Linked DNA regions of Rhinolophus ferrumequinum. The protein of the gene in region 2 interacts with the protein of the main gene of each other region in a biochemical or structural test. Links are inferred from orthologs where the notes say so. Each region holds a gene or a part of one and is shown on either strand. Other genes may lie near its edges. The genes, in order: FCHSD2, CASK, ATP2B4 and F11R.

The links.
Region 1: the proteins of CASK (region 2) and FCHSD2 form a complex in vitro, tested with the Homo sapiens proteins (2 studies listed by BioGRID and IntAct, with this or other methods). The link is inferred for Rhinolophus ferrumequinum from reciprocal best matches to the Homo sapiens genes CASK and FCHSD2.
Region 3: the proteins of CASK (region 2) and ATP2B4 form a complex in vitro, tested with the Homo sapiens proteins (2 studies listed by BioGRID and IntAct, with this or other methods). The link is inferred for Rhinolophus ferrumequinum from reciprocal best matches to the Homo sapiens genes CASK and ATP2B4.
Region 4: the proteins of CASK (region 2) and F11R form a complex in vitro, tested with the Homo sapiens proteins (2 studies listed by BioGRID and IntAct, with this or other methods). The link is inferred for Rhinolophus ferrumequinum from reciprocal best matches to the Homo sapiens genes CASK and F11R.

Annotation. Positions count from the first base shown.
Region 1 is NC_046294.1:48,435,333-48,442,469, forward strand, and holds the start of FCHSD2 (F-BAR and double SH3 domains protein 2), read right to left. Parts: upstream 3,011-7,137; 5' UTR 2,516-3,010; coding exon 2,495-2,515; intron 705-2,494; coding exon 607-704; intron 1-606. UniProt on the Homo sapiens protein: Adapter protein that plays a role in endocytosis via clathrin-coated pits. Contributes to the internalization of cell surface receptors, such as integrin ITGB1 and transferrin receptor.
Region 2 is NC_046284.1:92,023,947-92,031,417, reverse strand, and holds the start of CASK (peripheral plasma membrane protein CASK), read right to left. Parts: upstream 3,018-7,471; 5' UTR 2,876-3,017; coding exon 2,817-2,875; intron 1-2,816. UniProt on the Homo sapiens protein: Multidomain scaffolding Mg(2+)-independent protein kinase that catalyzes the phosphotransfer from ATP to proteins such as NRXN1, and plays a role in synaptic transmembrane protein anchoring and ion channel trafficking.
Region 3 is NC_046305.1:27,391,418-27,398,648, reverse strand, and holds the start of ATP2B4 (plasma membrane calcium-transporting ATPase 4), read left to right. Parts: upstream 1-4,228; 5' UTR 4,229-4,638; intron 4,639-7,231. UniProt on the Homo sapiens protein: Calcium/calmodulin-regulated and magnesium-dependent enzyme that catalyzes the hydrolysis of ATP coupled with the transport of calcium out of the cell. By regulating sperm cell calcium homeostasis, may play a role in sperm motility.
Region 4 is NC_046305.1:2,235,032-2,241,994, reverse strand, and holds the start of F11R (junctional adhesion molecule A), read left to right. Parts: upstream 1-3,949; 5' UTR 3,950-4,081; coding exon 4,082-4,142; intron 4,143-6,963. UniProt on the Homo sapiens protein: Seems to play a role in epithelial tight junction formation. Appears early in primordial forms of cell junctions and recruits PARD3.

The DNA.
Region 1 (7,137 bases), on a different chromosome or scaffold from region 2:
ATGGTGGTATTTCTTTCAGTAAAATGAGTCATGCTTCCCTCTATAAAGAAAGATACCAATTTTCACAATTGGCATAATGTCTAAATTCAAAGTTTTCTTGATTATGAACAGAGGTAATTTTAATGATAAACACATTTCTCACTAAATTTAATGTTCAAAGATAAAGTTGTGTCTGTCATGCTCCAACAAATAACGCTAGTATATAATCATCTCAGGTTGACCGGCTCACCCCTAGATATTAACCATTAACCAGAGGAGTTAGTTTAAAAATCAGTGTGAAATCGATAAGGTCAATAAATGTTATAATTCAGTAAAAAGATTATTTAAATAAGAATTTCAACTTCAATGATTATAATTTGACAGATAAACTTTTAAGACCCTTGTTTTTTCATAATAGTATGTGTAAGTTATAGGTTCCCCCACTAAAGGAAAAAAAGTTTGTATTGTGTTAGTTCCAGTTATAATTTCTAGCTGAGTCAAAGCTCTAACAGCCTTAAAGCAGGAAATCCAAAAGGAAATTCCATCATCAGTTCCTGGGGCTTGGTAACTCAAAGCTTCTTTGAAACAGAGATACAGAAGTTCTCAAACTATTTACTATAACCTTACCTCATATCTTCAAGCAAATCACATTCTGCTTGATGTTTGGCTTGAAGTTTTGTCATCTGCTCAACTTGAATGTTTTTCAGTTCTTGTGTAACTTTCACCTAAAATACACCATATATTTATGAAGGCCTTACTGCAACTTTAACAAAAAACAAACAAAAAAAACTGCTTAAGGAAAATACTTAATACTTGTCAGAATATACACCTCTTGCGCACCTCTCCCCTGGAAACTAGAAATCCATTATTAGCCACCTAATTTTGTTTACTGAAGATACTCAGTATGAAAAAAAATTAGCCAAATAACCTGAAACAGAGGCTAAATCTAAGTACACAAGTGTAAAAATTACAGATTAAAGAGGTGCAAAATAAACTGCTAGTCATTCAATTTCATGCACAAGCTCAGTACATATCTAGGTCTTCCTAGAGTTTTAAAAGAGTCTGTCTTCTGTTTCTTCCAAAAAGGATTCAAAGATATTAACCACCAGAAGTACTGAGCAGAGTGTAGCCCGGAGAAGGGAGCATAAGAATGCCTAATATCTAATGACTGAAATTTACACAATCATGAAATTATATGCATGAACGGACTACATAAATTATTCCATAATGGCTGCAAGAAAGCACACTGTCTCTGGATGATGCCCTCCACTCGCTGACAGCGCATCAAATCACAATCTTTCTCACAAAGGAGAAAGCAAAAGTGACCTTCCAGCATATGCAGTGCTTCTAAGCCACCCCAGCAAGCCGGTCCCCGCCGCGGCTCCACTTTAAAGAGCCAGAATAGCAAATGCAAGCTGGCCAGTGCCTCGCCCGCCAGGCCGGGACCCCAGGATTCCAGGTTACAGTGGGCCTGGAATCCCCACCGCCGGAGTGAGGCTACCCGGAGGGGTCGGGGTACGTTTTTTAAAGAAAAAAGACTTACTTAACTGAAGAAACCCGGATTAAGAAAGAAAGAGGAGGAGGCAGACACGAGTGAGTTAGATATTCAACAAACGTTTGCCCACGAGGGGAGGATAGAACAGCCTCCTCCACCCAGCGCCCAGAGTAGACACTCAGTAACTATCTGCAGGATTAAAAAGACAAGGACACAGACTCAGCCCCTGGGAAACGTGAAGAGGGCTGTGAAACAGTTCTCAGAAAGTGCAGCAGTAAAGCTGCTGACAAGCCCGGAGCACCCGTCACTCCCACCCCAAATCCAGATCGCGGTGCACCCGCCACGCACTGCCCGGTTTTCACTCTCCTGAGGACAGCATCACCGCCTCCTGGCCCCCTACCCGGAGGGACGGGGCAGGAATAGGGTGGGGGACAGAGAAAGGCAGGACTGACTGGTCAATGCTTAATTTCTTGTTTTCCCCTGGGATGGGGGGGGGAGATGACTATTCCAACTTCTTTTCGGCCCGCCCCGTGGGAAAAGCAGGCCAAACCTTAAGGCTGGGCTAAAAACAAATTCCCTGCAAATTTGCAAAATGGGCGAGGGTGGCGACAGGCAGCTGGAGGGCTCAAACCTGGTGCAGACTAAACAATCACACAAGCACAAGGCTCTGCAAAGCTGCAGGGGCTCCCCCGCCTCCCCTTGGTGCAGCCCCGAGAATGCACTTTGCAGCGAGCAGCACTGCCATGCGCGCGCACACACACAAATGCACACCCGAAACTCCTCTGAAATGTCGGGGGTCTCTCGCGTACTGGAAGGGACGAACCTCAGCCACCCCTCCGTCGGAAAGTCACCTCACACCCGTGCCCCCCCGCCTAGAACCGGCGGAATCTCAGTGACAAGCCAGAGGCGACGACGGTCACGGCCGGTTGAGGAAAGGGGGAGGGGGCGCAGCGGTCGCCCCAGCCGCGTTCCTTGGACGCATCCTCCCCGAGCCCCGAAGCCCCCCTGCTGCACCCTCACCTTCCTCGGCGGCGGCTGCATGATGCTGAAGGGACATCAATCCTCCACCGACGGCGGCGTTAGCTAAGACGAGGAGAAGGAGGGCCGACGGGAGGGGACGGCCCAGCCGGCGCGTGTGTGTGTGAAAGGAGAGCCTGAGAACGAGGACTAGCCCGGGAGGGAACAAGGCCGGCAGGCGGCAGGAGGACCCGGGTCGGAGGGCGAGTGTGAAGAGGAGGAGGAGGAGCGCCGGGAAAGCCTGGGGCTCTGGCGGCCTGGGGGGTGTGTGAGGGAAGGAGGCGGAGACCGCGAGGGGGCGGGGGCCCGAGAGCTGGGGCTCAGTCTCCCAGCTCGCCGGTCGGCTCTCGAGGAGCAGCCGCGTCGTCCGGCTCCCCGCCAGCCGTCGGCTCCGGGGCTCCTCACAGACGCGGTCCCCCGCCCCCACTCAGGCAGCCCGGCCCTCGCTGGGCCTGACGCCCCCACCCAGCCCGGGGAGGTGAAGGCGGTGCCGCGCTCTCAGCTTCAGCTCCTCCACTCAGGCCGCGGGAATTTCCGGCCCCACCGCGAGGCGCAGCGCCCCACTCCGGCGGCGGAGGGGACAGCTTAGGCCAGAGCCGGGTTCCAGGTCCCGTGGCCGCGGCGTGGGGCTCCCTATCGTGGCGGGGACGGGGGGAATTAACGGATCGGTCGGCGAATAGGAGGGGCAGGAACATTAGCAGAGCACGAAAATCCCCCCGTCCTTCCCTAGAGTGGCACGTTCCAAACGCCTCCTGTCCTCCCTCCCCCACACTGGGAGCCAGCCGGGGGCTTCCCGCGCGCTTTCCCGCCAGCCTGCCGAGGCGCGCGCCTCCGATCGGGGGCGCGCACGTGGGCGGGAGAGGGCTCTGCGCCGACGCACGCGCACAAGCAGCCCCTACCTCCTGCTGGCTTTTGCGGCTGCAGTGTTTGTGCGGGCTGGGGGGTCGTGGACGTTCAGAGTGAAGTTTTTACAATGATAAGGGGTCAGTATGCCTGTGACAGTAGGAGAGTTCCGGTTTTCGCTTCATCTCGGTCCTCCAACACCCCTCTCTCCCGAGCAAATGGGCCGGGCAGATAGGCACCAAGGGAGCCAGCATTAGCAAGTCTTATCACAGCAGATCACAGGTGCCTGACTGTTGTTGGGGGGCGGGGGGAGTGTCTAGTTCCCCTTTAAAGAAAAAGAACAGCTCTCTGCTACAGGGCATTCAAGTCAAAGAGCATGGACTCTGCAGGAAGGGAACAGTTAGGTCGTTAAAGGCAGGGCCCCCATTTTATGGATGGGGTGAATAGTGCCCATAGAGGACTGGAGACTTTCTGAAGGTCACACAGTAGGACTAGAATCTCTGGATCACGAAGGGTTCTTTGGGTTATAAAGAAACAGGTGCAGACGATCCATTAGGAAAAGTAGAGGAGGCAGCAGGGGCAGAGGAAGCCCTTGTCTGGGAATCAGGAGCTCTGGATGCCGGTCCACTCTGCCTGCCTCTAATTGGCTAAGTGAGCTTGGGCTGCCTCATCTGCCAATGAAGATGCTCATCCAGGCAGCCCCCACACCCACCACCGCACGACCCCAGTACCTTCCTGCTCTGCAGACCATCTGGCAGGAGGGGTATCTGCCTCTCTTGGAGTCCTTAGAAGAATGAAAATCCCTCTTCTGGAGCCACAGGGCTGTGTAGAGGGTGAACTAGATTGCCCCATAGTTTTATCAGAAGTTGGCATCTCTGACACCTGTTCTCAGAAGTGTAGTCAGGCAAAACAGGAAAGTGAGTGAGGCCTGGAGAGACCCAAGTAAATTGCTCAAGGCCACATGGCCAGAAGTTGGGAAGATGGAACTTGAACCCAGGTTGTTTACACTGAGTTAGCCTAGATTATTGTACATGAAGGTGATAGAATCAGAGCTATGCTTGAATCAGATTTAATCTAGAGCTATGTGTAAACTAGGAGACCAAGCTTGCTATTTCTGGTCTCCTTGAGGCCATTCAAAAGTCAGCCCTTCTGCAGGGTCCTCAGTTACTATCAGGGAAGGCCTGGGGCAAGAGAACAGGTGGATGGAGGCCCAGGTCCCTGAGAGTTGTGGGTCAATACCTAGAGCCCAGGCCAGAGGTAGCCAGGCTGGGCTCCAGTCTCAGCTCCACCACCAATTCATTGCGAGGCCTTGAGCGAGTCAGTCCAACTCTTTCAGCCTTTATCTCCTCACTTGTAAAATGGGGATATAATATCAGCCTTGCAGGCTTGTATTAAATAGATTTTCTCCTACCACAAGACCTGGTACATAGTGCTCAATAAATGCTCACTGATTCATCATTCATTCAAAAATATTTGCTAAGGTCCTGCTTTTTGCCAAGTCTTTGTACCAAACACCAGGGATAGAGGGATGAGCAAAACAGTGTCAGCCTAGGCCTTCACCAAGGCTGACCAACCAACCATTCCATGAATGACCCTGGGCCAGTGGGGGAGCGGTAAGAGTGCTTGCCCAGAGGTAGTGGCCCACACATAGAAGGTGCCTGAGAAAGATTTGCTGAATCCTCGTCCTGCGTGTATCTAGTCTGGCCCAGAGACTATCTTCCCTTCACCGTCCTCCTCTGGCAGTGAGCACTGGGGCTATAAGTGTGCTGGATGTTGGGCGACTTAGATTCAGCCTCTACCACTGATCTGCTGGGCTTTCTCTGGGCCTTGGTTCCAACTGCAGAATAAAGTAAGTGAATGGGCCTGGACCTTAATAGACTCTTCGCAGATTAAGTCAAACCCTGAGGCTTCACTTTATGAATTTAAGAGGGCATCCCCCACCTTATTTGCCGTTATTGTGAAACCAGGAATGGCATTGACTTTCTGGAATAATTTCCTTTGGAGGTTTTATAAAACTAAGGGGCAACACCAGATGGGCATGCCTACTAACTGCTTTTTCAAAAATGATTTTTAAAAGTACGCACTTAATATTTACCACCGGAACTTCCAAACTCCAAACTTTCATGTTACTTTTCCAAGCTAATCTTAATTGTAAACCTATGAAATAGTATTTTCTTCATTTTACAAATGGGGAACTAGAGGCTCATTGAATAGAAGTGACTTGCCCTGAAGTAATGGATTTGGGACCAGAACCCTGTTCTCCCATTTGCCTCTATGAGGAATGTTCAAAGGAATTAGGAAAGTTCACCCAAGAAAAAAGCAGTCTCAGGAGGTTACAATCCATATGTTCCAAAGTCACAGGGAGGGGGAAAAGGTTTCTGTGATTTATGCAAGCCTGAATTAAAATACACATATACACCTTTGAATCAGGCTGGAGACTTCCAGAGCCTTTCTCCTGCAAAGCAGGCAAGCACCATGTTACCCGTAAGATTTCTTAAGATTCTTTGGGGGAGATGCCACAGAGCTGTCCCATGGCCACAGAGTAGCATGTACTGTGTGTGGCTCCAGAGACAGAACTGGGACAGGTCTCAGCTGCATCTAGGGAAGGAGGTTTTCTAGGCAGAGCCACCCCTAGAGGGGACAAACTCCCCCATCCCTGGGGCTGTGCAAGCAGGTGTTGGCTTCCTTCCATCAAGGAGGATTCTCACCCTGGGAAGGAATAACCACTACCATTTATGTTACCTTTTCCATGTTTCAGGCATTGAACAAGACATGTCATTTATATTGTTTCTAACCCTGACAACAACCCCTCGTGATAAATATGACCCTATTTCACAGATTTCACAGCCTGAGGTTCAAAGGTAAAATGACCTGCCCAAGGTAACACAGCTAGGACAGGAGAGCAGGCCTGGCCCCTGGCTCCCTCTAGCTCTGCAGCTGTGCTCTCCCTCTAGTGTGTGTGCTGCTGTGCAGTCTCCCAGAAGGAAAATGATTCTAAGCTTAAGAGCCAGGATGGAAAGCTGGCCTGGAGCAGGTATATGAATGGGCTTTGGAAGATGAGCCATTCCAATATTCCAGGACTCTCAGGAAAACCCCCGGGGAGGCAGTGTGTGCAGCAGCCCTTGGACATGGCTAGAACATGAAGAGCGTCCCAGCCCAGTGAAGAGTGGGTACCCAGGACAGGCGGGCACTCCACCCAAGGTTCTCTGCTGAGAAGGTGGCCACCAACCCATCTGCCCATACTGCACCACCCCCCTTCAGCTGGGGTTCACAGACCCTCTGCTTCCTTTCCTGCTCTGTCATGATCCCCCACTTACAGATGCCAGTTATTTCCTGCCTGCACCCCGCAGAGCCTAGCTGCAGACAATGTAGTCTGTGGACCCCACTCCTATTCACCTTCCTTCTACCCTAGTCACCTTCCCTCTCCACCTCCATCCCACAGGCACACACATAGGGGCCTTTGCTCCTACCTGAGCTAATCCCCTTAACACGGCCAGCCTGGCATGGGGGTATGTCTCCTCCACGCGTCTGCTCTTCAGACAAGAGAATCACAGCCCGCTGAAATGCGGCTTTGAGATCTGTGACCACCAGAAGAGGGCAGGGGCTCTCCCTAGGACACAGAGTGAATTTGTGGCAGAACCAGATACCATCCAGCATCACTCAACAATCCCCTTGTTCTGGGTTCAGTCATAAGCAGGTCTCTGGGGTAAGCGCCAGGCCCTGCATGCACTCCAAGAGCTCCCAATCTCAACACGTAGACAAAAGGTCACAGCAGTGAATTGAGGACATGCAGGGCCAGGAGA
Region 2 (7,471 bases):
AGTAGGTGGTCAACTGGTCTTGAAAAGTGAAATCCATTTTAAAGAATCTCAGTGAAAATTTAAACTTATTAAGACCTAGGGGTCAAAACCAACTTGTGATACTAATTTGGCATAAAAGAAAATCACAATTCCAGAGAACTTGGATAGAAGTCAACAAAAAGGTTTTCAGTACAAATGAACATCTTCAAGGCCTTTCTGTTTAAATCCAGAGTTGAACAAATTCTAAGTTAAAATGTATGCTGTCAAGGTTCCTGTAAGAAAATCGCAAGTGAATTTCAATTTCCAGATCAATATATGCTGAGACAATTTACCGGAGAAACCTTCAACCTTTACACAGGGTGAGGAACACTATCATTACATGCTTTCCCACAAAGGCTACCTTGAATTTCATTATTTCATGGAATGACATAAATGGCACTGACCAAGTCAGATTTTGTAGGATATGAATGAGATTTCACATTCACATTAGTTAAGGTATCCATAGAGCACCTATCACCTCAAAATTAGCTTGCTCTCCCTCCTTATGCAGCTCTGAGGCAACAGAAGAGATGAATTTACTTCGATCAGAGGTGTTTCCTGAGAATATTGTATCAGTTATAAGTCAGCAGAATATTGGTTGTGCTAATGCGATGCTGACCACTTCTTTTCGATATTCAAAGAGATCACATCGTCACTCTTCCAGACCTTAAGGAATCAGAACTAGTAACTAACATTGATTCAATGATGGCTATATTCCATCACCACAATATAATTAACATTTTAATCTCACAAATTCCAATTATGACTTTGCTGGCTCATTTAAATAAAATATAACTAAGACATAACAAACATCATTCACCCATACAGACACAATCATTGGGGGCTTAGCACCTAATTCACCTTCACTGGGTGCTAAGAATAAAGAAACCAAAGGGATTTTTTTTTGTTACGTATTTGTCTGTCTAGAACTGTGCTATTCACATATGACTACTGAGCACTTGAAATGTGGCTAGTCCATCTAAGGAACTAAATTTTATTTAATTTAAATTTAAATTTAGAAAGATACTTGAATCCATTATTGGAAAACTTTTAGGTATGTTTGGAACAACTTGGGTATGTGAATCTACTTTTGCAAATGCAAATTTTATGAAACCTAAATACAGATCAAGTATTTCCTATGAAAATGTAGCGTAGTGTCAGAATTGAGATGTGTTGTTAGTGTAAAATACACATTGGATTTCAGAGACTGAGTATGACAGGCTGTAAAATATCTTAATAATTTGGATCTATTGGGTTAAATAAAATATTTTATTAAAATTAATTGCATCTATTTGTTTTTAATATTTTTAATATGGCTATTAGAAAATTTACATATGCCAAATTTACATATATAAAATTACATGTGGTTCACATTATATATCATTTGGACAGCGCTGCTCTAGAGCACTTCCACAATTACTTCACCAGGGGCACATTTGGATATTCTTATAGTAGACAGGCTGGTCATGTAACAAACAATAGGGACAAGGAGTAACATGTCCTCCTATCAACTGGGTCTGAGGAAAGTGTGCAGCAAGCTCTACCCACAATTTCACCATGTGAGGAAACACTGTAATACCTCAACATGGAAGGGAAAAAATGAGTTATCAGCACTTAAATTGAAATCCAGCCCTGCAGACAACTTAAAAGAGAGCCAACTGCTCTAAGATCTTCGTTTCATTTCCCAACTACAGACCTTAAAATAGACAATAAAGCACCGCTTCCAAAAAGAGGTGAAATATTTCAATGGTAGCTATCTAGTAATCCTTAAAAAATAAGCAAGAATTGCTCTTAAATTTTATCTCAACTTCAAAACCCACAGAATACACGTTGAACTACGAAATCAACTTCAGATTGCCAGCATTTCCCAAACGAGCAAATTAGCAGGATTGTGCACTTGGAATACTGTTTGACAAGAATGAAAAGGAAACTATTCAAAACAGATTTAAGGAATGGACAATTAGATGAGGAACTGCAGATTTAATTCTCAATCAGCACTGTGATTAATCTGATTCCCTGCTTTTCCCTAGTGTAATTATACAACACAGATGAAAGGATGAGCATTTGGACTGTCAGTTCTATATTCTAGACCAGCCCGGTGACTCAAAGCAGACGGCTCTACCACGCTAACCACCATCCCAACAACAGTCGAGGGAAGCCTTGAACACTGATTTAACAGTCATTGCATAACGAGGCATTAAAAATTCGGATCCCCCCAACTCTTTCCACGTTCGTCTATACCAGGTGAGGAATTTGCTGAAACTGAACGTACCCTGTCTCAAATGACCCCCTCCGATCCGGGCATGGGGTGAACACAAAGACATCTATCTAATATCCTGCACAATAGACACACACCCCACAATTAAAAACCCTGGACGTTCTCTTTCTTTCCACGCAAGCAAAGGAAATGCAAGCTGCTTTTTTTTGTCAATGGTCTGTGCTACACACAAGGTAACAATAATCCCAACTGTTCCCAGGAAGCAACTATAAAATCGGTTCGGCCACGTCCCTGTGCAACCGTCAGATAAAATGCAGACAGCAGATTTCAGCCGGCCCCACGCCTCAAGGGGTGGCCGACCTCGGCTCGTTCACCTCCACGGATCGCTGGGAACTCCCCAGACCCCCGCCCGGCAGGAGGTCCAGGTACACGTCTATAAATGCTTGGGGGTGAGGAAGACCAGGGCGGTGGAGGTGAGGGAGGGCAGGGGGCAGGCCCGGAGCGGGTGCGGGTACGGGAGAACCCGGGCATCACTGAAATGCATTTTCCCACATTCCCGCTCCCTCGCGTGAAGACTCACTTGCCGATCACCTCGCACAGCTCGTACACATCCTCGAACAGCACGTCGTCGTCGGCCATGGTCCGGAGGGGACAGCGGCCGCAGCGTGGAGGGCTCCAAAAACGCGGGTGGGGGCGCCAAAGAGCTCAGTGCCCGGCCCCTGGCTCGCCTCCTCCCCTCAGGACTCGCGAGCCCCCGGTACTGAGGACGCTCGAGTGGGGCGCGAGGCCCAGAGACTGCGGCGCCTTCCTCTGCGGGCGACTGCCCCGGCGCGGGCGGCCGGGCCGGGGCGCGGGAGCGAGGGCGGCCCGGGCCCGGCGCCGCCCGCCCGCCCGCTGCTCCTCGCGCTGCTCGGGCCGCGCTGCCCGGCGTGCGAATCTTCTGGGACCGCGCGGCCCGGCTCTCCGCTCGTCAGCCCGCGCGGGCCGCGAGGTCGCGACCGCTCCCTCTGTTGAGGCTGGCTCGGGCACGGCGCGGGGCAGCTCGGGCTACAGAAGGGGCCGCGGCAGGACCATAGAGGGAGGATCGCCGCGGAGGGAGGTGGCGGCGGCAGATCGGCGCTGGGGACCAGGAGGCGGCGGCAGAGACGCTCCCTCCTCCTTCTACTCCTCCCGCTGCCGCCGCCGCCACCGCCGCCGCCGCCGCCGCCCGCCTGGGAATGGGAGGGGGCTTCGCGGGACTGGCTCTCCTTGCAGGCGGGAGCCGTGGCCGCCGCCTTCAGCTCCTCCTCCTCCGCCTCAGCAGCCGACCAGCTCGCCTACCCCGCGCACCCGCCCGGCGCACACACGCCCTCCTCCCGCTACAGCCGCGCTGCCTCTCCACCCACAGGCCCCGCCCACTCCAGCCCGTCGGGGGGCGGTGGCCCAAGGAAAGGGAACAGGGATGAGTGGCGCATGCGCGCGCCGCCGGTCACGTCACGGCGAACGGGCGGGTGCCGCGGTTCTAAAAGGGGCGGGGGTTGGCCCACGGGGCGCGCGGGTGGCAGCTGCTTAGGCGGTGGCTGGTCCGGGTCGTCACCTCCGCGACCAAGCCGCGGAAGGGGCCAGGACAAAAGGTCCACGACCGAACGCATGTTGTTGGCTGTCTGCGGCGAGAGGCTCAGAATCCCAGTCGCTCTAACCCCCTTCTTTGTAACCACAGGAAGCCTTTCCCGGTTTTTGTGGGAAAGGGTCCTAATGAATGGGAAAACAAGAGGTGGAGAGGTTGTCACTCTTCTAGACTGTGCCAGGCGGCGAATGCTTTTAATGCCACTCTGTCGTTCTTTAATGAAAAGGAGGGCTGGATAAGGGGGGTCGTCCACCTACAAGTACCGGACCAAACAAAAACTGTCCACGAAGGTGTGCAACAACAAATGGCAATTTATAGGGACAGCTTCTCCCGCATTCTGCCCAAACTTAACAAATATCTACCCAGCTCCTGCCCCCTCTCGAGACAGCCTAGAGAGAGGTCAGGAAGGCAGGAACAAACAGGCTTTAAGCCCCTTTGTATATTGCTCCCCACCTCCCGTCAAGCCCACAGGACCTACTCTGCTCCCTACACTCCCTATAAATGTTAGACAATTCAGGATAAAAAATCAACTAGAGGGAGTGGATGCACAGGGTCAACCAGGGAGTGCGGTTCTGGGTGTTGCCGCTGTGCTAGATTGTATTCAATATGAAGATTTCTGTTCCACTGAGCATGTGCGGAATGAGCCAACGCCATCAGACAGGTATATGGCTCAGTTGAGGACCAATAAAAAAAAGTCTTTGTTCCTCTGCACAGCAGAAGTGCCCAATTAGTTCATAAGTCGGCTTCTAGAAATCATCTGGTAAAATTCTTAGTGCGGTAATTTAAAAAAAGAAAAAGAAAACATAGTATTTACCAAAGTGTGTGGGGTGGGTGGAGACCCACAGCCTATTTTCTCTTCAGAAACGTTTTATGTACATCCTTGACCACTCCCTCCAGAGGCTGAGAGATTTGCCACTGTTAAGGATTTGAGTACTAAACCTTTTTTTAAAAAAAATGCAAATCAGAGGAGAAAATATAATTGTATGAGGAGACTTTCCTCCTTTCCCAATGTGCTTGTGCATTCTCTAGAGAAGGGAGCTTTAGAGCCTGAGAATTGCTTCTGTTGAGGGTCCCACATTTCATTTGGTGCACACTATCCTCTCCCTTAGTTACATTTAAAATGTAGATATTCCTGTACTAAATATTGAAATCCCTTAAATGGTTGGAGCTGACACTGTAAGTGCTCCACTCAAATTCCTTCCTATCCGTTTTTTTACCTTTCTCTGTGCCCCTCCCCCAGCTGCAGCATGTTTTTGCTTCCAAAGCCCATGCCTGTGACTTCAGAGGACTTCCCACAAGCTACTGGAATCACTTTGCCTACATGGAAGTGCCTGGGAGTTTAGGTCTGCCCCATCTGGCTGTTAGTGCAGGAATGTGAAAGCCCAGCTCCCTTCCCTAGGAGAGGGGACAACTCTGAGAGGTTACTTACATCCTGAGCTTCCCTGTGGGATCAGGTTGCAGCTACCCTCCGCAGGACTTTGCCTAGCTCCCTCCCCTTCCCTTTCCTACCTCTTTCATTCCCTAATAGGTTTCTCCTGGGAGTACTTCCTTAATAAATCATTTGCTCATGAATCCCCTTATCAGGATCTGCTTTGGAGGAACCCAACCTAAGTCAGTGGTGTTTCTCAAAGTGACAACTGCATCCATGTCATCTGGGATCATATGAAAAACGTTAAAACTTTTTGATTCCTGGGCCCTGCCCAAGACTTACTGAATCTAAATCTCCTGGAGGATAACACAGGGATCTATATTTTTAAAAGCTCCCTTAGTGACTCTTGTACACCTAAAAATTAAGAACCACTGCCCTAACACTGGCCTCTGAATAAGCTCACTGACAAGAAAAAAGGAGCCAGGGCTGACTTCATCACTAGGGTGGAGAAACCATAACAAATGCAAAAGAACACTTCAGGGAGCAGAAGAGGATATGAATACAAATGTGTTTCCTTCTGTAAACCTCTGTCTAAAGATTCATTTTACCCTTCTTCCTTTAATATCAGTGAACAAGTCACTGGAAACTTTTGTTTGACAGTAGAAACAAGATTGCCTTTGGACACAGCACAGTGCCTGTATACACTGAACATGTTGTAACTCAAAATGAAATCAAAAGGTATCCATTCATTGAGCCACTTAAGATCACAAGTGCTCATTGGCCTCCTGGGGACTCAACACTGTGCTATGTGCTAATGGAGACTGCAATAGTCAGGATTCTTTTGGTTACAAGTAACAGAAAACTTAAACCAGCTTAAACAGTACAGAGAATCCTTGGCTTACGTAACTGAAAAGTTGAGATGTATAATAGCTTCATGTGAGGCTTGATCTAGGACTCAGATGATGTCACTGAAAATCCACTTTCTCCCAGTCTCATCATTGTGCATTCTGTGGTACTGCCTTCATCCTTAGGTTCCGCAAGGTGGCCCCCAAAGCTCCATGCTCTCCCCTTGAAGTAGCAAAATAACTGCTACTGTTCCAGACTTCACCTTCTTATATATCAGCATCCAGGAAAAGAGGAGTCTTGTCCAGTAGATCTTGCCCATGTTCTAGGATTTATTGTCTCTTGCTTGCCTTGTATTAAGGCACATGACCATCCCTGAACCAATCTCTGTAGCCACGGAATGAGTCACTGAATCATTTAACCAATCAGGCCCCACCCTCAAGCTGGGCATGAGAATCAATCTCATGGCTGAGAATGTAGGGATGGGAAAAGTCCCCAAAGGAAAGTCAGGACACTTTTTGATAGGAGAAGGGCAGAATGAATAATGGGAAGGCTCCCTGTTCTCCTAGATACCCAAGCGCTGGCATTGGCTTTTTCTTAGCACTCTACTTTCTCCATGTTCAGCTAGTAATTAGACTCTGTCAATTTTTCTTTCAAAATTTCTTTTGGATTGTGCCTTTCTTTTCCACTTCTTCAGTCTCCACCCCAATCAACTCCACCCTCAACCCGTACTTAGATGTTGCCTCACTTTACTCACTGGGCTCCTGCCTCCAACTCCTTGTCCCATCTTGCTCACCATGGAGAGGCCCAATTCAGGTCTATGAAAGAGAATTCTCAGCATCTAGAACAGTGCTTGGTATGTAGTAGGTATTCAAAAGGCATTTGTTGAATGATGAATGAATGAATGACTTCATAGCCCTTATCACTTCCTGGAATTCTCTTTTATTTGTTTTGTTTATAGCCTTTCTCCTTCAACTCTTGAATCTAGAAAGTGTCTGGAACATAGTAAGTACTCCGTATGTGTTTGTTAAATAAATAAATAGTTGTATGTTTCTTGATTTGGATTAGAGAATCAGTCATAATTAGGAAGAGATTGAGGATCCAATAGAAACAGTTAAAGTGGTTGGATTCTTGGGAAGAAAATGCATAACAGAAAAAATACAATTTTCACAGATGAAGGGAGAGTCAATAGTATCAGAGCTAAAGAAGTATCAAGAGAGCAGGGCCAGAAAAGGGGGCATTGGATTTATTTCTACTAATTGAAACTAGTTCTACGAGCTATATTTTGTGTAGAAAAAAACAAATTTAAATCTCACACAGCATTTAGAATTTTTCCTTCTGACTTAGCTATGAGAGATTTTGAAGGTAAAGTGGGGAATTAAATTTGTACCTCCTCCTTAAAATTTCCTTTTCTGTA
Region 3 (7,231 bases), on a different chromosome or scaffold from region 2:
CCATTAGCCATGAATATAACTGCCATGGCTACGCTAGTAGCAAAAAAAAAAAAAAGGGGGGAGCTAGCAAGAAGACAGTGGCTGAGTCTGCAAGAGGCACAGTGAGGGTTGAGAACTGTGTTGCTCCTGGTTCCTGTGTCTCCAACCCAGCCGCCAGTGAGAGTATAGTGGTGTGACTCCCCTACCTATGGCTCCGTGGGTGTTCCTTTTTGGCCTCACCATGTCCTGCGTTCTTATGTGGGGAGTGGGACCAGAGACCCCGCCTGACACCCTGCACGACACATGGAGAAGTCGGCAGGATCCCCTGCACTACACCTTGCCAGTCAGCACCTTTTGAGCCTTGGTTTTGCTCTGGGGCCCGGGTCCAAACTCTTTGGAGTGTACTTTCTCTTCTAATAATGGCCTTGAGCCACTGCTTTCTGCTCAGGCTCACTTCTACCTCTTTGAAGTGTACTTTTTCTTCTGATAAATTTCTTTTTCACTACTTTGTCTCGGTATCTCATTCAATTCTTTGCTTGAGATGCCAAGAACCTGGACATTGTGCCGAAAAGGGCCCACTCTCCGGTAACAAAATGAGTGTACCTAAATGGTAGGTACCAACTCAAAGGGTTTCTATATCCTCTTCTATATTACATTTCTATATTATTTAGGACAAGTGAAAAAAAAAACCCACACAATTTAATCTAGCTTATGCATGCATAATGAGTCATATAACTAACTCATTGTAGAAACAGCAAGGGTACAGTAAGATATGAGGTACAGTTGGCTCAAATGCTGACAGGACTCACCCTTCAGCTTTCTTCTCTGCCTCTCTCCACATGTTAGCTTTACTCTTTCCTACTGGCAAGCTTCTTCTATATGACAGAGAACATGGCCGCTGATATTTCCAGAGTCTCATTCCTCACAGTGTTTACTGCCGGAAGGATACTCTTTGATTTTAAGTTTAAAAATCCCAGGAAAGGATGTAATTAGCTCAGTTTGGATCATTTAGGGGTGGGACCTCAAATAAAATGACAGTTCCTATCTTAAGAGTGAGGAGAAAGACCATCTTTAAAAAGCACTAGATCTGGGTATGGGTAGAGAGTTGCTATTCTAGACAGACAAAATTGGGGAGAGATGCAGTTTGTATTCAAAGGAGGTGGGGGGAAATGGCAAGGGTGGTTTGGGGAACTCAAAGTGGAGCTCTCAGGAGGCCAGAGGAGCATATTCTGTTACGCACTTAAGGGAGAGTCAAAGCTGACTGCATTTTCTTCAAGTGAGAGATGGGTGGGGACAGGGTGCACAGTGATGAAAACAATGCCGAGACTGACCTGCTGAAGGGAGTTCATGACACCCAGGAAAGAGGAGCCAGGATAGAGCTAAAGAAGCAGAGAAACTGTGAAGTCAAGAAGACAGCAGGTATAAGAAGGCAATGGGGCTACTAAGCTGCTTGGGCAGCCAGCCATATCCAACAGCCCAATCAAGAACTTTGATGGCGGAGGCTGTGCCCTCCCTCTTGCCATGGTTGGGGAAAGGGGCACAACTCCACTTTCCCACATTCAGTGGTTATTTTTATGGGTAGATTTATTTTTATCCATTTAGACCTCAAGCCTGCTGCTAGAAGGAGCAAGGCACTGAAGCTTCTGGATTTCCAGGAAAGGCAAGCTTTGGTGGTGGGCTCAGCTAGTCGTCAGGCTGCAGCCGCCCCTGGAGTTACCACCTTGACCCACCTCTCACATCCTTCTCTCCTGTCTATATGGAGCCTAGGGGTTGGAATGGGGTGGGGGTGCCTCTTCTCTCATCCCACAAACCCCCACTGGGAATGGGGGAACACTGGGTTCTGAGAGAAGGGAGGAGCTACCTACAGGCTATCATGCAAGTCAAACTCCTGGCCTGCCCTGAATCCCAACCAGCCAGAGGTGGGGCAGAGACATCAGAGCCTCTTTGGCAGCACCTCCCCTGCAGAGTCTGCCTCCCTAGAACCAAGGAGTTTGAGAAGAGGATCTTGCCTTTCAAATACTAACTAGGCATCATTTCCAGCTCCACGTGCCAGCAGCCAAAGCAGACTTCTCCTTTAATGGGACCACACATATGGCCTAAATTGTTATTCCCCTAAGACCAGTTTACTGAACAGTTAGGCAATGGCTCCCCACGTAGTCACTGCAGTCAAGCTGAAAATATACTTTAATACATTTAAAACACCATGTCAGAGACTGGCTTTCTCACGATAAAGATGCAACTGACACTCATTAGGAGCTGAAATGTCAAATTGTTGTAATCTAGCACAGAGTTTAACAAGCCATCAAATCTGAAGCCCTGTCCAGTTGATTCCTTTCCATTCATTCTCTGTCTTCACTAACAATTGATCTGGGCTCCTGAAGCTACATTTTGGTAGGACCTTCCAAACTCTAACAAGGTACCATCTCTATCCCTGCCATCAGTTCTTCCACTAAAGAACTGGGGAGTGGGGTGGGGAGGACCAGAGATGTTTGGAGAGGGGCAGGGAGTAGAAAAAAAATCTCACCTTTGGTGTCCTCCTAGTATGAGACCTTCAATTCCAAGGAAGAAAAGACTGCTGGAGAACAATCCATGGATGGCTTCCATAGAAGGTAACCCTAAACTCCCCTCCCCTCCCTTGTAACCTTCCATCAGCTGGGCTGGGCTGGGGAGAAGGGGCACAAGGACAGGCAGGGGCTTATCTTGGATCTGGTTCCCAAGTTAGATGGCAGCAGGCAATCTCTAGCGCCACATGGGGAACTCTGAGTTCTGAGCCAAGCCCAACCACTCTTAAAAAATTTCTTCACTTTTGTCTGTTTAACTTTCCCTCGCTCAGAAATAGGATGTGGATGAGTTGTTGAGAAATAGTAGGATAGGAAAGTAAAAAGAGGAAAGCAAGGACCCAAATGTTAGGAATTCGGGAAGGACGCTAATGGGCAGAGGGAAACCAGAGCCCAGGGGCTAATTCACAATTCTGTTTCTCAGTGTGCATGAGGGTCTTCGTCCTGGGGCAAAGGAGGACCCTGTGGGGTGAGGAGTCAGGTTAGAATGGGTGAGTCAAAGAGGTCTCTTCCCAAACCCCTGAAGTTGTGGTGGGTCACCTTCTTCACAGCGTAGTTTACAATTCTAACCCGGTTTCCATAAGCGTATGTATATGACCGAGTGTGTGTGCTGAGGTAGGTGTGGGAATAGCTCAGTCAATGAAGACATGGTGTGTGAACCAATTATGGTACATGTTTGTACTTGAAAGCCATAAAGTTGTAGGCAAAAATCTATGGGTGGCACTGTTGCACAATGCTGGTGGGTGTGTGGCTGCAGGGGTATGATTAACAGTTTATAGGCTGTGTATAAATGTGCATGGTATCTGAGTGTGTGCAAATTAAAATGGAAATGCATGCCAGAGTATGACACAAGCACAGGAAAGTACAGGAGACTCTGACTTGGTTTTGTTTCTGGCTCTGTTATTAACCAGATGTGTAACCTTGGGCGAGTCACTGATCCTCAACTTCCTCAACTCTGAAATGAGGATAATAATAAGTACCTTTCAAGATTGCCATGAGCATTAGAAAGGAAACCATATAACAAAGCTCTTGGTGCCATAGCCCATGCATAGTAGGACTCAAAAGTAAGCAGCTGTTATCATGTGCTGGGGATGTGCCTCTGTGGGGTACAGAGGCAAGAGGGAGCAAAACGTGACCAAGAATGGTGTGTGTGAAATATGGGTGAAGACTGTACTAAGGTGTGTGTATAAGCAAAACCGTGTAGGTGTGTGTGTAACCCAAGCAATTCCTTATGCTTCTCCAGTGAGCTCCCTATTCAGACAGGGGCGAGAGGGTGAAAGTGGATGATACAAGTTTCCCCAGACACCTTGGGTTTTTGGGTTTCTGGGTCCTGGGTCTAAGTGAGTAAGAGGCTGAGAGGCCCAAAAAGAGCTGCAGGAAGCCAACCGCCGGCAGAAGCTTCCTTTTTTCCCTCCACCCAGCAACGGTTAAATACCGCCACCCACATCCACTCCCCACCTCCATCCCCCACCCTACTTTCAACAAGTGAGAGCAAGGGCGGGGAGGAAACTCCGAGAGAAGAAAGGATTCCTCCCCTTCCTTTCTCCATTCCCCCTTAAGACGAACCAGGAAGAAGCCATAGATTGCAATCGGGCCACCTTAACAGTGGAGAGCTAGTCTGGCCTCTCGCCAAGTCCCACCTCCCTTCCACCTCTTGCTCCTCCCCTTTCTCCTCCCGCACTGCTGGGGAGAGGTGGTGAGCTACAGTCTGGTCGAATTGGCTCGAGCTGTTGCCATGACAAGCGTTTTCTTAAGAAAGCTCCGCTGTTGAGACCATCCAAAGCTGGGGGTTGAGGGGGAAGACACGAACTTCCTGGGTAACCATCCTTCCGAAGAAAGCCAGATCTTAGACACCCTCCCAGCTCCCCTGCATTATTTTCTTCCAGGAACCTGAGAGGTCCTTCCTACTGGGAGGACCGGGGGGAGGAGACCCTGCCCACTCCCTGGCGGTGGCTGAAAAGGCAGGAGATTAAAGCCAGATTCTCTAGCGTGACTGCCACACTGGGGAGACCAGTGGTGGTCACCCCTACCCTACCCTGTCCATGGAAACCCGGAGGGAGCGTCTTGCTTGGAGAAGCCTGGATCTTTGCTAGAAAAAGAGGTAGGCTTGCAGAGAATGAATTGACTCGCGATTTACAAACTTTGTTTCTTTCTTTCCTCTCAATGGCTTCTAAAACTCCCGAATTTACTCTTCCTGGCATATTTCTTGCGACTGTGTGTGTGTGTGTGTGTGTGTGTGTCCGCGCGCGCGCGCGGGCGCGCGCGGGCGCACAGATTTGTCAAATACTGTATTCCTTTCCTAGACTCAGTTTTGAAAAACCGTATAATCAAACAAATGACTTCTTTTTCTTTTCCTAGTTTTTGTTATTCCTGGGCCGTGGGGGTAGGGGAATGGAGGGACTCTTTTTCACACCCAAAATGCACCCCTCTTCCTTTCCTGCTTTTCCCCTCCCCCTTGGCTTGGGAATGAGATGCCAAATGGAAAACTGTTGCAAAAATATTTTCCGCGTCTGTTCCCTTTCTCGAAAGCCCCAAAGAGAGACGGGGGGGGGGGGAAAGAACCAAGTAGGAAATCTTCAACAAGAAGGAGGGGCTGCAGTGAAGACTAGGAGAGGGGCTCACTGGGGGTTGGGTGGAGCTAGAAGTTGGGCGGTGAGGAAGAGGAGTACACAAATTAAATTTTTTTGCTTTATACAGAAACCTCAGCAGTTTCTCTCTGCCACTTGCAAAACATCCTCAGACTTTCACGTCTATAATTAGCTGTGGAAAAAGCTGGGAGTTCCCTGTACTGCTGTTGTTTGAGTGTGAGTGGAGCGTCAAGAACCAACTGTATGAGTGTATCTGAGGGCACCGCCCCATGTATCTCTGTGAGAAAGGAGAAGGAGTGAAGTTGGAAAGTTTGCAATTTCAAGGCTGTTGACTGTAGGGGTGAGTGTTTGGCGGTTGGGGTTGGTTGCAGGCATCTTTGGGAGTGTCCCAGAACGTCTTGGGGCTGAACAGGTAGAAATTAAGGCTGTATTGTTCCTCCTAGCCTCCCTTCACACGTATGTTCACTCACATACTTGGCTCGCTCTTGGGGTGGAGGAAGCTGGCTGGCATCCTCTCCCGGACGAGTCCAGCCTCGCACACTCCTCCATCACAGAAGGACCAGGGCTCTCTCTTGCTGGGTATGGAGGATGCGGGAGGGGCCAACCACAACCTGGGAGGCACCTGCTGGCCAGAGACATCTTTCTCCTGGGCATTCCTCATGGACTTACAATAACTTGCAGAGGCGAAGTCTGCGCGGGCTGGCCTGGTAAGGGGAATGTCAGATGAAAAAATAGGCGGGCCCTCAACTGACGCCGCTAGGGGGAGGGGAAGTAAAATCCCATGCTACAGCGCCACCTCCTCCTCTGGGTGGAGATCCTCCTCTCTTAAGATCCTCCCCTCGCTCCTTGAGCCCCTCCCCAGAGCTGTTCCTTCAGACCTTCCTGTGTGGAGGTCCCCCTCCAGCCCCCCTCAGCTGGGGCCCTCTTCACAAGGAAGAAGGGAAAAGACCAGGGTTCTCCTAGGCTGGGAGAGGCCTTGGAGAGGGTCCTGGGGTCAGGAGAGACGGGCTGGAGGAAGGTTTATGAGGAGGAGGGCAGGAAGAGGTGATGGCTCTGATGGTTAGTGAGCAGCTAGGCTGGGGGGGCGGGGTAGGGGGACGTGGAGAGCTAGCTCTGGGAGGTTGTCCTGGACCTGAAGCTGACACATCTGTAGGGTTCAATCCAGGGGGAGAGGAAGCACCTGCCCTTTGCCCCAGTCAGTTTGGTTGGAGGGGGTGGTAAAAGAGAGAGCTTAGAAACTGGAAAGAAGGAAGTAAATGACTTGGAGGAGAGCTTAAATGGGGGCTGGGGAAGCAACAGGAACCTGTTTTCATTTTGAGGTGTTGGACGGTTGACCTGACTGCACCCTAAGGCTAGACAGCTCTTCCCTCCCTCCCTGTATTCTAATCAAGAAGAGAATGAGGCCTTCCCCAGGGGCTAGGGGACCCAAGATAGGATCCTGCCCTTGTTCTGTCGGAAGGAGAGGGGGAGAATCCATTTCTTGGCACTTGCACGGGAGCCCCATCCTCCCTGCCACCATCTTGCGGAAGTACACCCCTTAAATCACGCCGCTCCCCGGACCCTCCCCGCGCCCCATTCCCTCTGGGGGCGTGCACCATTCCTGCAGCCGACCTTCCAATTTTCAGTGCTCTGACTAGGACTAGATTCTGGTAGGTTCGGGGAGAGTTCCCAATTTAGCGTGCACCCATGCGCCTGCTCCGGTGGCGGTAAGCTGTGGGGTCGGTATCCGGAACGCAGCGAACCCGCGGCCGCTCTCCCGGTGTCTCTGTGCTGGCACGCGCCGCCGCCCCTCCCCTAGCGCCTCAGCTCCACTCCCGGCTCTTCCTTGGTCCGAGGGCTCTGTGCAGAAGGTGCTCTGAACGCAGGAGAGGGCCACAGTCCTTTTCCCTTCGATTGTCCACCTCCGCGTCCCGGGCTGAATTCAAGGTCAAGCCGAAAGAACGCAGCTCTGGTAGCCCCGGCGGCTCCCGTACTTAACACAGTACCTGAGAAACTAAAAGGTGCTTGGACAATGTTTGTTGAAAGAAGGAAGTGGCATTTTGGGGGGAGCCTGGGAATCAACCTCATCTGGGCTAATGCTCCCACAATAATAGTGGAAGGGAGTGG
Region 4 (6,963 bases), on a different chromosome or scaffold from region 2:
AATTAAAAACACACACACAAAAAACAATTCTTTCATTATCTTACAGTGGGGAAGTTATTTCCATTCAGACCTGTATGACTGGCCTCTCTTTAATCATGTCCAAAGTCTCTGTTGGGCACGTAACACTGTTCACCAGTTCTAACACGTACGTGTCCCTAGTGTGTTCAGTTTCTTCTGCACTTCTCCCTACTCCAGATCTCCTAACGTCCATTTCCTCTGCATTCTCAGCTTATGACTTTCCCTCAGACTCCACTGAGAACAGAAGAAATCAGACTGAGATTCCACCATCTTCGCAACTGTACCACATACTTGACTCTTGTGGTGCATGGTTGTCTCTGCTCCCTTGTAACCCTCAGCTTGAGCTCTGGAGCCCATCTTCTCTGTCCTCTGGAACTTGGTACTGCAGCTATCCCCTCTTCTTCATACAGCGTTAACTTTTTCCTCTCTACTGGTTCATTGCCATTCGCATACAAGCATTTCCACATAAAGAAAATCCCTATTCTGTCTTCATCCAACACCCCTCCAGCTACTTCATCTTTTCTCTGTTGTTCTTCTCAGCAGAATCTCGATTGAACTGTCTAGACTCACAGCCTTTATCTCCTCAATTTACACTCTCGCTTTAGCCTTCTCCATACAGGTTTTGTTGCCCTCCCCAGTATCCCACTGAAACTTCTTTCGAGGTGACGCATGTGACACAGTTAGGTGACTGGGGAGGGGAGAGCCTTTGCCCTAGTTGCCTCTCTTCAGTGGAGGCAGTTCCCAAAGAGGGCAACACCTGGGGGATACACCCCTCCTTCCTGAAGGGGAGTCTGGGTAGCATATCACGGCATCCACATGCATAAAACCCTATGTTCCAAAAAGGATGCAACAACTTTATTAGACAGTATGTCTAGTTGTGGCTAAGGGGAAATTGAACAGCAGAGTCAGATGAAGACAGGATGAAGTCAGGAGTTAATTTGCAAATGTGGATTTAGTCTTCCTTGAGACCAAAGTAAAGTGACCAACAGGATCATTTGTAAAATTCAAGGTATCCATAAGACACACATATGACAGAAGTGCAGCGTTTCTCCCCAGGACAGAACATTGGGGAGGGAGTACTGTCAGTGTGCCATGGCAGCTCGGCCAGAGGTCACTTCAGGATTGTTTTCAACTCCGTCCTTGTTCAGTATCTTTATTAACCTATTGGATTTGTCACAGAGAGCATGTTTATGAAACTTGCATGTAACACAAATTCAGGCGCAACTGCTAATATACTGGATGACAGAGTCAAGGTTTATGTTTTAATAATCTCAGAGTTTTCTACTTTGCTGACAAACTCTCCAGTTTGAAGTTTACAAAATCTGCTATTTTTTAAAAAAAGACTACAGAAAACAAATGTCAATGACAATGAAATTTAAAAATCTATTATTTATTTAAACACCTTTATGGGAGAAGGAAATGGGTGAATGTCAAATGATTTGCATGATCCACAATTACCTTAATGCTTTGTAAATGGGCACACAGCTGTTTGACACAGAAATAACCGGATGCATACAATTTGTACTTACTCTCTTTAATAGTAATCAGTAACATTATTTCACGTCTACTTTTCTTTATATTAATATTTCATTTTCAAAACAAGAAATAAGAAGTTGAATAGGGATACATGCAAAACAACCTTTGATCAAGAAAGAACTGCCCAAATATAGGATGTGAGACCTGATTTAATAGTAGTCCAAGTGAAAGTAAAAGGTCGTGGGTTTTAGTTTGCTACAAATTGACTATAATTCAATAGTGTCATTTGGCTATTACATTTGCAAATACATTCTTACATTGTAAGAATGTTGAAAATAGCTACCATTTCAGTATTTAAAATATACTTGGCCCCAATGCTTAGCTTATTATCCTTGTTTTGCTATAAGGTAAGTGATACCACTATTACCATGACTGCCTTAGATGCAGAAAGTTTCAGAGAGATGTGTGCTGGCTAACCACAGACGGATAGCTAGAAATTGAGGATCTGGGTGTGAACCGAGATCTGTCCATCCCATGGAGAGGTGGTTTCTCCAATGCCTTGTTCAGACCTTGGTCAGTAACAAACACAGGATGATCCAGCAGAGGGACATTAATACAGGTGGGGGTGGGGAGGCTTGTGAACACGTACGTACATAAGAAGACTCTTTGAAGGCTATAAAGATGTTCAGCTTGGAAAAAGAAAGACTTACAAAGCTCATAATACGTATCTGAAAATACTGAAAGGAAGGGCTGCCATTGGCAAAGAATAATTAGATATTTTGTGAACTCTAGAGAGCAGTGGCTGAAAGTTACCAGGAGGCAGATTCCAATTTGTTAAAAGGATATTTTAACAATTAAGAGTTGTACCAAAAGCAGAGTGGTCCGTCTTGAGAATATTTAGAAGAGTTTAAGCAGTATTGTATAAACTCTTGGTGGTTATATGGGTCCTCCTATGTAGTGTGAGAGGAAGACCTAAATGACCTCTAAAATGACCCTTCCATCTAAAGACTTCGATCAGTCTCAGAGTTCCTTACAACCCCTGCGCAAGCTCCCCCATCTGCAAGTTTCCTCTGCCGGTCACAGCCCAGTCGCCGGTCTCTTCTCCAAGCTCCTCCCTCTTCGCCTCTTCACCCTCATACTTAACTTTGTGTATATGTGTCTGTCTCCCCAAGAGTTTATTTCCTTTGAGGGTAAAGAAGAGAGCTTTGCACATGGTAGGCAAATATTTGTTTCGATTTAGTAATATGAAGTTTCTCCTCTGGTTATTGTTTCCTGTACTTCTCCTAGAAGTAGACTGTAAGCCATTTGAAGCCAGGGATTGCAGTTAGTATTTGTTTGTATTCCCCTACAGCACCCAGTAGGTGCTTGATAAACATTGCTTTAAGTACGGCAGAACCAGAAGTGGATCTTGGCCCAAGATACGTGAACCAAGGAATGAAAACAAAGATAAAAGGAGCAAAAGGTCAAGGAATATCACTGTTTTGTATAAAAGTATGAACTTTTTATGTGCAGTGAGATAATGATCAGGAAGTTTTCCCACAGGTAACGTGGGTACACAAAGATCAGTTAAAATTAAATCATTGTGAAGTAGAAACTACTAACAGTAAAGGTGTTGAACATGAGTTTCAATTAAAAATGATGTAACAGTATATTAACAGAAAGGTTTAGTATCAACATAGTCTATAGAAAGAGGTGGTTAGTCAGCACCCAACCATTAGTCACCGTGCAGATAATTCTGAAACAGGGCTCTTGTGACAGATCGCGCACGTTGAAGGACATACTCATAGTCACAGTGAGACTCACAGAGCATCTGCGTGTCCATTTGTGTTATCTGGTGTACTTATGCTTGAAGTCCTTGAGACGAGTAATCCTACTTTCCCCGGTCTCTCTCCCGCCCTCCCTTTTCCTTCCCTCCTCCCAGCGCAGGCCCTCTCGAAGCTTGTGAATGCTGCCAGTGGGGTCGACAGAGGAACACGGTTTTGGGTTGTATCATGGTCCTCTAGTCTCCTGGTCCTCTCCCCCCACCCCTCGCATATTATTGAGGTTTTCATTTGATAAAGGACGCGCCCAAGGTTTCTCCAGCACCCAGTAACGTACAGCCAAACAAACATCAAAAAAAAAAAACCTGGCGGGTTTCCGCGGGGTGCGCGACACGACCGCCTTCCCTACCTGCCCCTTCCAGGTACCCCCTACTGCAGCTCCAACCCAACCCCCATTCAGTCCAAGAGACCCTACTTCGGAAACGCCGCCCAATCCGAGTGTGCTCACCTGCAGAAGGTGAGGAGTCGGTCTCCTTTGGCGACTGTTTTCCAGCCAATCAGAGGCGCCACGGGCTTGAAAAGACGCCCCTCAGCCTCACGGGGAGAGAGGTGGGCGGAGCTGCACCTGGCGGCGGTGAGTCACTCAGAGGAGCGGCGGCTGCCTCCTCCAATCGGAGTGCGCAGGGGCGGGGCGCCGGCCAATCGAGCGCGGAGGGCGGGCCGGCGGGCTCAACCTGTGGGCCCGAGCTCCGTCCGCGCTGCTGTGCGCGAAGCTGGGTCTGTCCCAGGGCTCCGGCGGCCGTTCTCGCGTCGGGATCCTGGTCGTCATGGGGACAAAGGCGAAAGTCGGGAGGGAACAGTCGCTTCTCTTCACGTCGGTGATCCTGTGTAAGTTCCCGGAGTTTCGGGAGGAATTGGTGGGTCGGGCCCCTCCCGCGGAGGGGAGGAGTCCAGAAACCTGCCCGCCGCGCCCTCCGGTCCCGCTCCGCTCCCCGCCCCCACCCGGCGGCTGTGCCCGCTCCCGGGGCTCCCGGCCAGGGAGCGGCGGGGTCCGCAGGCGCACACAGCGCGGGGCGCTGGTTCCACTTCCCCGCGCTCACCCTGGGAGGGCCGGTGGGCGCGAGGGCCCTGCCCACGGTCACGCGGGCCGCGCACCTGGGAAGGGTCACCTCCCTAGACCACCCAGCCACCGGGCGCAGCAGCCACCAGCCTGTCACCGCCGACTCCCGGGGCCCCTCCCTGGAAGCCCTGCTCCTTCAGGGGCTCCAGAGAAACTGATGGAGGCGGGTGGGGGGTTCTCTCCCCGGCTGTTGCCCCGCACCCCGCGTCTTTGCGGGGCGGTGGCTGCCCTGGGAAAAGTGGCTGGGTGCAAAGTCTGAAGAGGAAATACAGCTGAAATCTGAAATTGCTCAGAAAACGGCATTCATTGTTCCTTTCGGGGATAACCCGAGTCCTTAATAATCGGTGTTGAGTGACTGGCTGGTCCGGGCGCGGTCGTTGGCTGGATCCTCCTCGGAGCCAGTCGGAGCCTCCGTGAGGCTCGCTGGCCTGCCGGGACCTGCCCGTCCCCGGTGCGGGGGCCCCCGTCGGCGGCCTGTGTCCGCACCTGCCGCGTGTCCGTCGTCTGCGCCCTGAGTGTCCTGCCCACGCTTCTGTGGGTGCTTGTGTCAGTCATTCTGCGGTCGGCATGAATCTCTGATTTTCCCTCAGGGTCCATGTTTTAGGAAATGTTAAAGGAAATGATCAATTACCGTCGATATCGGCAGTTCTAAGGCCATTCATTTTGCTCAGTTCTGAAGGGTGGAGACAGGGTTCCTGCCCGGAGACAGATGGACTGACTACTCTGTCACAAACATTTGTCCCTTGTCACAAAAACATAAGCCTTTGGGTTGGACTGGACTAGAGGCGAGCCTAATGGCCTCTCCATTGTGTAGATAAGGAAACAGCTCCAAAGAAAGGAAATGACTTTTCCAGACTGACAACAAAGGTCTCCTGACTGCCTTTGCCTTTTTACCTCCAGTTTCCATTGTCTGCCTACCCCACCTTTTTACTTCTGCCTGGATCTCAGGACTGTTGTTGACTCCACGTTTGTTGATTGTGTGTGATAGTCAGTACTGAAGCCTGCCCGGCCCTGTACTGTGCCTCCCTCCCCCAAACCTATGAGCTGCTCTTTCTGAGCCAGTGACTCTGCACTATATTTGTCATGCTTGTAAGCTTCCTGGAGCTGCGACCTTCTCCCCTTTTTCCTTTTCTTTCCTTCCTCCTAATTTTCTGTGCCACATAATAATCACACTGGCTCCGAGAGAGTTGTGACAGCACCATTCTGAGGTTGGGGAGGTCCTGTAGTCTGTTCAGGGAATCAGAAAACGGGTTCGGAGGCCAACCCAGGTGACGCTGCATCAGCTTGACAGGACAGTGGGCCCTGGGAAGTCACATGTCCTGGGCTGGAGGAACCAACCCTGTAACATTTAAATCAGGCTGGACTTCGTCCTGTAATCCAATCCCCATCTCGCTTTCTTCAATCTTCTTTACGTTCCCTCCTTAATTTGAAATGCATCAAAGAAGCTGCAAAACTTTTATGCTGTGGGAGCATTTGAGGTCTTGCTTCTGGCATATGTCATCAGTTTGGCTGAAATAAACATGTAAAAATTCTCTAAATAAATTAATAAATAATCAGGCTAGCCCTGGGGAGAGTGATTTGATTAGTACGCTGAGGATGGAAATAGGAGCCAGGCCGCCTGCCTGGGGTCTGGCTTCGCTCTGCCTTATCTGTGATCTCAGGCCAGTAGCTCCGTCTTTTCGTCTGTAAAACAGGAGCAGTGACACTTGTCCTAACCCTGTCCTGACGATTTACCAGTATCACGGCTGCATTACGTACACATGAAGGCGTACTGGGCAGCTGTGGTCCCCTCTAGATTCTGTAAGGATGGAAGAATCTGTCCCTCGGAAAGTAGGTCAAAGAAAGCAGGGAGAGACTTTGATAGATCCCCAATGGCAAAAGTTAAAAAAGTAGGGGCTCGCTGTTGAGCATCTAGTCTGTCCTGTAACCCCTGGGATGTCAGAAGTATGTACAGATGCCTGCGTGTTCTGCCTCCTCCCTCCGGGGCTGCTGCTGTCTGAGGAAGAAGACAGAGCAAGACATGACTGACAATTAAGCAAAGGCCGAACCCCATCCTGGGAACCTAGAGGAGAGGGCGGTCTGAGCCTGCTGGCCAGGGATTGGCAGGGGTCGGAGGCTAAACTCGGAGAACAGGGCTTGAGAGAATATCTGCTAACGAGAGCACCAGTCCCCTGTCCCTAGAGAGCCTGTGCTTAAACAAGTCTCCAGCTGTCTCCCAGGCAGTGAAGAGGCATTTTTGCTTAGCAGAGAGGCATGTGAATAGGACAGGGGAGAAAGGGAAACCTAGTTTAGAATGCTGGTCTTTGCCCCCGCCCCCCGCCCCCCTTTACTGGAGTGTAGCGTCCCCCTGAGACCATCCAGGGTGGAGGGACGGCCCTAGGTCTGGGCCATCTGTGAACCCTGCTGTTCCTTGCTGATGTGCTTTCTAGCTCTGCCGCATAGGGTCAGGCTTGCCCTCAGAGGTGGAGACTCCAGGATCATCCCCCCTTTCGTCTCCCTCCCTCTCCCCCAGTTGAATTTACTCCCAGGAAAGAACTGTTTCCTTGAAACCAGAAACTAGAAAAACCAGACACTAGAAACAGGCCACAG